Linked DNA regions of Macaca mulatta. The protein of the gene in region 2 interacts with the protein of the main gene of each other region in a pairwise test. Links are inferred from orthologs where the notes say so. Each region holds a gene or a part of one and is shown on either strand. Other genes may lie near its edges.

What was found.
Region 1: the proteins of C14H11orf68 (region 2) and CSDE1 interact in a two-hybrid assay, tested with the Homo sapiens proteins (2 studies listed by BioGRID and IntAct). The link is inferred for Macaca mulatta from reciprocal best matches to the Homo sapiens genes C11orf68 and CSDE1.

The regions. Positions count from the first base shown.
Region 1 is NC_133406.1:125,531,392-125,535,201, forward strand, and holds part of CSDE1 (cold shock domain-containing protein E1), read left to right. Parts: intron 1-2,550; coding exon 2,551-2,729; intron 2,730-3,544; coding exon 3,545-3,708; intron 3,709-3,810. UniProt on the Homo sapiens protein: RNA-binding protein involved in translationally coupled mRNA turnover.
Region 2 is NC_133419.1:8,502,010-8,506,347, reverse strand, and holds C14H11orf68 (UPF0696 protein C11orf68 homolog), read right to left. Parts: upstream 2,910-4,338; 5' UTR 2,885-2,909; coding exon 2,763-2,884; intron 2,073-2,762; coding exon 1,313-2,072; 3' UTR 661-1,312; downstream 1-660. Other genes in the region: DRAP1 (dr1-associated corepressor), read left to right, coding at 3,356-3,397, 3,635-3,707, 3,803-3,896, 4,198-4,317.

The DNA.
Region 1 (3,810 bases), on a different chromosome or scaffold from region 2:
CAGTTCCTTCACTAGTATTTAGATCGGTAACCATTCAGTTCTGTATTTTTGCTTCCTGTAAAAGTTTACTGTTCTGCCCCCCCCCCCGCGCCCCCCCCCCCCACCAGACTACACATATGTGCATAATCTGTTTCTTAATAGCTAGAGTTCTATGAGGATCCTATTTCTCGTTTCTAGGTCAGGGTTCCTTTCATTCTCTACTTTCTTGTTTTTTCTCCCTGCTATCTTCAAGAATTCCCAGAGTTCAGTGCAACTGTTCCTCTAGCAGTCACCATCAGAAAGACCAACTTTGTGTGATCTGTATGCATAAAATAAATACACGATAGAAATAGGAGAGAACTCTGTAGATGATTAGGATAGCAGAGTTACATGATGGTGGAGTAGATGAGAAGGCTTGAGTATTCCAGCCAAAGATGATGGCTTGGTTTACAAAGAAAATAAAGTCCTTGCATCATCTAAGAGTCAGCGAACATAAAGTGGTGAATAGCAGGTCATTTGGGAGAAGGAAATGAACCTTGATAACCTATTCCTTTACCACATGGGATTCTTAGAATTTCTGTTTTACATAAAACCACTATTCCCCCACCTCTAAATATGAATTTTTAAACAAATGCCATGACAGCACACCCCTGAAAAGGCCATGGGAGTATAGACTACTACTTTAACTCACGATATGATATCAAATTGCCTTTCCACCTCTTCCTAACATGCTGCTTTTACTTCCTTTTGCATCCCCACTTCCCAGTCCACTCATTCTTCAGCACTGGCTGTGGGATATAGTCCAAAGCAAGGGTTTTGTTTAGGCATCTCTAAGCCTGGGACTAGACAGATTACATTTTCCCACTTGGTAAGCACTAGCTCTTTTATTCAGTAACACAACTGTAACTTATACTAAGACTTTTAAAGTTGGGCAGACATAGATCTGGACACTGTTCTAGCATTATAATCTTGGACAAATAACTTAAATCTTTATTAGCTCAGTTTCTTCATCTTTAAAATGGTAATACCTTCAGCCTTAGAAGGTTCTATAAAGTATGAATCAGTATGTGCATCATAAGTGGTAATTATTGATATTGCATGAGGTCAGACCAGCTTCCTCTGATCACTCTTCCTCATGACTTGATCTCTTCGGATTATCTCCTCAAAGTTTTTTGGTTGCTGTATTTAAAATAAAAAGTCAGCTGGGGCCGAGAGTAGGGGCTCACACCTGTAATCCCAGCACTTTGGGAAGCCAAGGCAGGCGGATCACCTGAAGGTCAGGAGTTCGAGACCAGCCTGTCCAACATGGTGAAACCCCGTCTCCACCAAAAATACAAAAATTAGCCAGGTATGGTGGTGGGTGCCTATAATCCCAGCTACTTCGGAGGCTGAGGCAGAAGAATCCCTTGAACCTGGGAGGCAGAAGTTGCAGTGAGCTGAATCATGCCACTGAACTCTAGCCTGGGCAACAGAGCATGACTCTGTCTCAAAAAAAAAAAAAAGGCCAAGTGTGGTGGCTCATACCTGTAAACCCACCACTTTGGGATGCCAAGGCAGGCAGATCACTTGAGCCCAGGAATTTGAGACCAGCCTGGGCAACATGGCAAAAACCTGTCTCTACAAAAAATACAAAAATTAGTCATGGTGCGTGCCTGTAGTCCCAGTGACTCAGGAGCTGAGAGGTGGGAGGCTCACCTGAGCCCAGGAAATCAAGGCTGCAGTGAGCCATGATCGCCACTGCACTCCAGTCTGGGCGGCAGAGCGAGTACATTTGCCTGGATGCTGAATTGTTAGGCAGCTGAATTCTTTGGCATAGTTTATATCTGTAGCCTGCACTGGGCTCCAGGCAACTTTATACTGTAGGGCAGGGCTCAGCATACATGGTGGCCTTTTTTTGTGATCACAGCCACAACCATCTGTTTACATACTGTTTTTCGTTGCTTTCTCACTACAACAACAGAGTTGGTTAGACAGGATGACTTGCAAACCTAAAACATATACTATCTGGCCCTTTAGGAAAATGGTTTTTGATCTCTGATCTGGAAAAAGGAACCTATGAGGGAACCAGAATTGGAACAAAAAAAGGAGATGGGGTGTCAGGTTTATCTAAATTGTTTTTGCCTATGCCTGCCTAGTTGTTTACTGGCCGATTGAGTATGGGACAAAAATATTTTTGGCTGGTTGGCTCATATTGTGAACTTGAGAAGAAGATAGTCCTGTGAATATTATTAGCAACCCATAGTGCTTAAAATTTAGGTAATGGGATTGTAAATGACAGTTTTTTGTTCTTTTGTGTTTTTTTTTTTTTTTTAAATTTATAAATGCAGTTTAAAATTGTTCATCAGCTAATAAAGTATTGATGAGCTGTGACATTCTCATTTGGTTCCATGGTAGTATTTAACATTTGGAATTTCATTTAAGCTTTAAGGTGAAACTTCTGAGTACTAAAAATAGATATATATATATTTTAGGTAACATAACACATTTTTAGCAACTATATAAACTTTCTAGGATCATCAGCAGAGGACTGTTGTGAAATACTAGCCTTTAAACTTTGTACCTGTTTTACAGGCGATATGAAAGGGGAGGTCTATCCATTTGGCATCGTTGGGATGGCCAACAAAGGGGATTGCCTGCAGAAAGGGGAGAGCGTCAAGTTCCAATTGTGTGTCCTGGGCCAAAATGCACAAACTATGGCTTACAACATCACACCCCTGCGTAGGGCCACAGTGGAATGTGTGAAAGATCAGGTAAGTGCCAGCATCTCTGTATCTGAATTTGATCCTTCTATGAGTTGGTAACCAGAACCTTCAAATTTTTTCAGCCAAGGGGAAATCATCAACATTCATTCGTTTTTGTATTTCTACTTTACCTTTTTTCAGTCATTTGAGGTAGCTTAATAAAAACAGAAAACTACACAAAAAAGTGACTATATTAGCAATGAGAAAGTAAGATTGGTATTGGTAACTAACATTACGCAATGGGGAAAATAAGTTTGGGGTGAGATTTCCAGAATAGAAGGACTGTATGGTTTTGTACACTTTTGCTTAGAACTTCTTTTGCATATCACACAGACACAGAAACCGTGTTCGAAAGTACTTAAAAAATAAGCTTAGGGCAAACAGACTTAGTCTTACTACTGAGATCTCAGGGAAATCTGAGTCCTCATAATGTTTTTCGTCATCAGTACAGAGAATAACATTTTGTATGGCTGCTTCATATACTGCTATAACCCAGCTTAATTCTAGAGGGGATCCAAACAATATGTATGTTGAAGTAACAACTTCCTGATGAGTTTGCTTAAATCAAAAAGCTTAGTTCATAATGTATGAAGGAACAAGGCAACTTTTATTTGTTTGGTTCAAGTTTGTGATATAGTGAATGGCACTTTCAAAGATACATTTCTTCCCTGACAGGTTTTGCCACAGGCAGCTGGACTGGAGTATCAACATTAATATCATGTTTTATACATCCTTTTATATAGGGGCAGGCATTGTGCTTCACTCAGAGTGAGGTGTGGCATGTCCTCTCTTTTTTACCTACTTTTTTTTTTTTTTTCCCCCAGTTTGGCTTCATTAACTATGAAGTAGGAGATAGCAAGAAGCTCTTTTTCCACGTGAAAGAAGTTCAGGATGGCATTGAGCTACAGGCAGGAGATGAGGTGGAGTTCTCAGTGATTCTTAATCAGCGCACTGGCAAGTGCAGCGCCTGTAATGTTTGGCGAGTCTGGTGAGTTGTTGTTGTGGTTTGATTAGTAACTACCCTGGAGTGTCTCAACTTCTGTAGTCTCTGTTTTATCACATTTCTTTACTTTTCTGTGCCTTGTTTTTT
Region 2 (4,338 bases):
CCTCATTGCCTGAGGAAGGGACTGGGATGCAAGTCCTAGCTCTGCCCACCTCATCGCATGACACTGAGAAAACTCCTTTCCCTTCTTGGCTTCAATTACCTTGACCGCAGAATGGGGCCAACATCTCCTGAAGAGGTTGTGAGATTTAAATTTAATACATATGAAAGCGCTTTGCAAACTGTCCAGTGGGCCCTATGAAGGTCAGGATGGTAGAAGAGGACAGTATGAATGGCGGGGCTTCCAGAGAGACTACCTAGGGTTGCGCAGGTTTTTCACTGCACAAGGATGTCCAGCCTAGGGTGCCGAAATCCAGCCCATCCCATCCTCTGCTCCCCAAACCACGTACCCTGGCCTAGGACTGCCTGGGCTTGGTACCTTCCTCTAATATGCACAAATGTACCTTGAGGGCTAGCAGTGGCCCCTTAGACGTTCCTGGAGGGATCAACCCCTGGAATTATGGGAAATCTCTGAGAAACTGATTTGGGATGGAGGGGAAGTGGGGCTGGTTTTGCAGAGGTTCTTAGAGACAGGGCCTAGCCTCAGCAGTGAGGCACAACTTATTGCTAGGGGCAGCTATGGGGGCCTGGCCGGGTCAACGGGGTAGTCTCTCCTGGCCTTGCCTCTCCCTAGCAACCAAAGCAGGTAACCACCAAGACAGTATTTTAAAACCACTCAAGACACAGACCCAAGCCGGGTTTTATTGAAATGCCAGGAGCAGGCACATGTCAAAGTAGCCAAGGAAGGGGGGATGGTGGGACAGGCTGTGTGAGCTGGCAGGGATGCGCAGGCCTCATGTCCATGGTCCTGGCATCCCCTCTGCCAAAGGACAAGTAGGCACAACCACCCTCCCCCCAAAATGGCATGCTCAGGCCAGTGGGGCTCCTACCCCTAGACCATGAAGGCTCCAAGGAGAGGGGCTGGAAGTACTAAGTTTTCTCCCTTGTGAGGGGGAAGGAAAGAAGGGGAGATGCAGGAGGAAGGGGAGGTATAGCAGGGGATGAGCGTCCCAAGGAAGTCTCTCCTCTTAGGTGTCTGCACCCAACCCACGGTCCTGGGCAGTGGAGAGGAGCAGCATTACAAAGGGAGGCTGAAGGCTCATCCCTCAGACAACCGGATTCCCCCAGCCTGTGGGGCTTGCATCAGCCCTGAACAGAGGGCAGAAGTTCAAGGGGACTGAAGATGCAGGTAGTTCCCAAGTGACCTAGTAGTCCCCAGAGTTGGGGGGCTTGTCCTTCATGGGACAAGGAGGAAGACAGGAGGATCCATCCCCAGCATGGAGTGGGGAGAGGGCAGTCTCCCCAGTTTGGCCCCTCTAGGTCAGTTCCACGTTGTTGGCACGGTCAAGCACTCGGGAGCCACGGGCACTGCCCCCAAGCTGGAAACGACTCTCATAGAGAGTGGGGCAGAGGTGCCAGCGGTTGGCCCGGTAGATGCCCAGGTAGGTGTAGACATCAGGCTTGTAGGTGAGCAGGCACTTAATACCTGCTGCACGGATGGCTGAATCTGCCTCCAGTACACCCAAGCGGTCCGTGAAGTCGTCCGTGTAAACACAGATGACCTGGCGCCCACCCTCCTTGGCCCGTGGGCTCACCTTGGCCACCTGAAGCCGGCCTTCAACCACAGCCCGGGCAATGCCAGCCCAGGCATGGTCCAGCTTAAAGCCTGGTGCCAGATGCATAAGCCACTTGCCTGAGAGCACGTGGTGGGTGATGGCGAGCTGGCGCAGGGTGCCCGGTGTGATGGGCCGCCCACTGGTCTGCAGAGCTTCCCAGGCTGCCTGCAGGCCCTGCACATCCCCGGAGTTGGGGCTGTAGCCCTGCCCATACACTGCAATCCAGCCCACAGGCTCTGAGTTGGGTGAACCGGGGTCCCCATAGCGGGTAACTTGGGATGGTGGGTACTTGGCCAGCCAGGCATCCAGCTCAGTGGCAGGTGTCGTGTGGGCATCAAACACTAGCCAGGGGTCCATGTCAGCTGCCATAGCCTCTGCAGCCAGGTGCTCAGCAGTGAAGCCATCCTCACGGCCACCTGGAGAGTCCTCCTCTTCCAGCTCCTCACCTGGTTCCATCCTGCTGTGAGGGAACCGAGTCAGGGCAGGGTCTGAGACAATAACTACAGGTGCCAGGCACTGGATTAAACTGTGGCCTTGGGTAAGAGTTATTGTCGATGCGCCTCAGTTGCCTCATCTTTACAATGGGATAACAACTGTTCCTGTCCTGTAGATCCGCTGTGAAAATTAGATGCCTGAGGAGTGAGCGCTCCAGAAGGGTTGCTGCAGTTATTACTATTCTCCTTGACTTACAGACAAGGAAACTGAGGCTCAGAGAGAAAGGACTTGCCCAAGGTCACCTGTAGTGCGTGGCAGGGCCAAAGGGTGAATCCAGGCGTGGGAGCAACCGGCCCCAGCTACACCTCCCGGCCCTGACAAGGCCCCCTTTTCCTGGCAGGTATCCGGAGCGCTGGCATTTAATAGAGGAAGGCAAAGAAGCGCACGTTCGCGCAGCTCCCAAGGCCGGCTCTGTAGGGCCAGGCCTCCCGAGAAGGCGTTATCGGGCCCACTTAAAGACGAGGACACTGAGGTCCAGAAAGGGCACAGGCCGTTCCGAAGCCAATGGGGCGGTGCCCGGAGTCGAACCTGGGCTTGCTAGAGCCTGCAGGAGCGCCAGGCTCCGGCCGTGCCGCGCCCGCCGCCATTAACGCCCACGGCCCGAGCGGTGCTCCCGCCCCGGCCCTGCCCTGCCCCTCCCGCCGCCCGCAGTCACCTCCGGCCTTCGCTGCGTTCGACGCCGGCCCAGCCCCGGGCCCGGTTCCGCTCCTGCCGGGGCTCCGTGCCACCGCCGCCGCGCCCCACCCCCGCCACGGCCGCCGCCGCCGCCGCCGCCATCTTAGCGCCGTGCCACCTCAACAACAACTTTATAGACAAGCGCAGCCACGGGGCGGAGCCGCCAGCCTCAGCGGCCGCAGCGGCCGCGCTGTGGGGCGGGGCCGGCAGGGGAAGGGGCGGGGCCGACGGGGAGGTGCTGACTCGGGGGGCGGGGCCATCGCGGGAACCCCGGGAGGGGCGGGCCGTGGGGGGCGGGGCCAACGTTCGCTCTTCTGGTCTTGGGGGCGGGCGGGAGCAGCGGTACAGACCGGGGAGGGATGCGCACGGCCCGGGAGGCTCCAAGAGGAGGGCACTAGGGCCCTGTGAGCGGCGTCTTAACCGGCGGCGCTAGGACTCCACGGGAAGCGGCGGGGGCGGAGCGGGCGGCACCAGGACCCGGGGGAACCGAGGCGGGCGGGCAGCGAGCAGGCCCGGGAGCCGGGAGGCTGCGGGCGGCGGCGCTGGACCCGACGCGGCGAGAGAGGCCCCGAGATGCCGAGCAAGAAGAAGAAGTACAACGCGCGGTTCCCGCCGGTGAGCACATGGCAGAGCCCGGCAGGGAGTGGGCCCGGCTCCCGGGAGGCTTGGGCCCAGTTCCCTCTGGAAAGGCAGGCGCGCCGCGGTGTTCGGGGGCCTGGACGCCCCGCCTCCTCCGTGCCCTCCCCGCGTCCGCGTCCTCCGCCCCCTTTCTCCGGGGATGCCCCTTCCTCCCCCGGCACCCCTTTAGGGGACGGAGGCGACGGGGTCTGAACTCTGCTCCCCCACCCGAAGGCGCGGATCAAGAAGATCATGCAGACGGACGAAGAGATTGGGAAGGTGGCGGCGGCGGTGCCTGTCATCATCTGTATCCTGCCGGGGGCGGGCCGGGTCGAGGGGCGTCGGGGAGGGAGGCAGCGGGTCGCCCTCCCCCGCCCTGGCGTTCTCCTTGACGCCCCTCAGCCCGGGCGCTTGAGCTCTTCCTAGAGTCGCTGTTGAAGAAGGCCTGCCAGGTGACCCAGTCCCGGAACGCCAAGACCATGACCACATCCCACCTGTGAGCGGCGAGGAGCAGGGAGGGGCCGGCGGGGCTGGCGCGGGGAGTTCACACACTGAGGGAGGCAGAGCTTGGATGGCGAGGGAGGTGGGCGGCGGCCGGGACACCAGCAAGGCCACAGACTGGCAGAGGAGGGGCTGGGCGTCCAGGCAGAGGGAGCCACTTAAGTAAAGGAGTGCAGGCCCGGGGGCGGAGATCAGCCCGAGCTCCAGTCTGACATCCGGAGCCCCTTGCTGCCACCCACTGAGGGTTTGGGTGTCTGGGCCCGTCTTGAGTGCCAGCCCCTCCTCACCTCTTCCAGGAAGCAGTGCATCGAGCTGGAGCAGCAGTTTGACTTCTTGAAGGACTTGGTGGCATCTGTTCCCGACATGCAGGGGGACGGGGAGGACAACCACATGGATGGGGACAAGGGCGCCCGCAGGTGGGGCCAGGGCCTGGCATA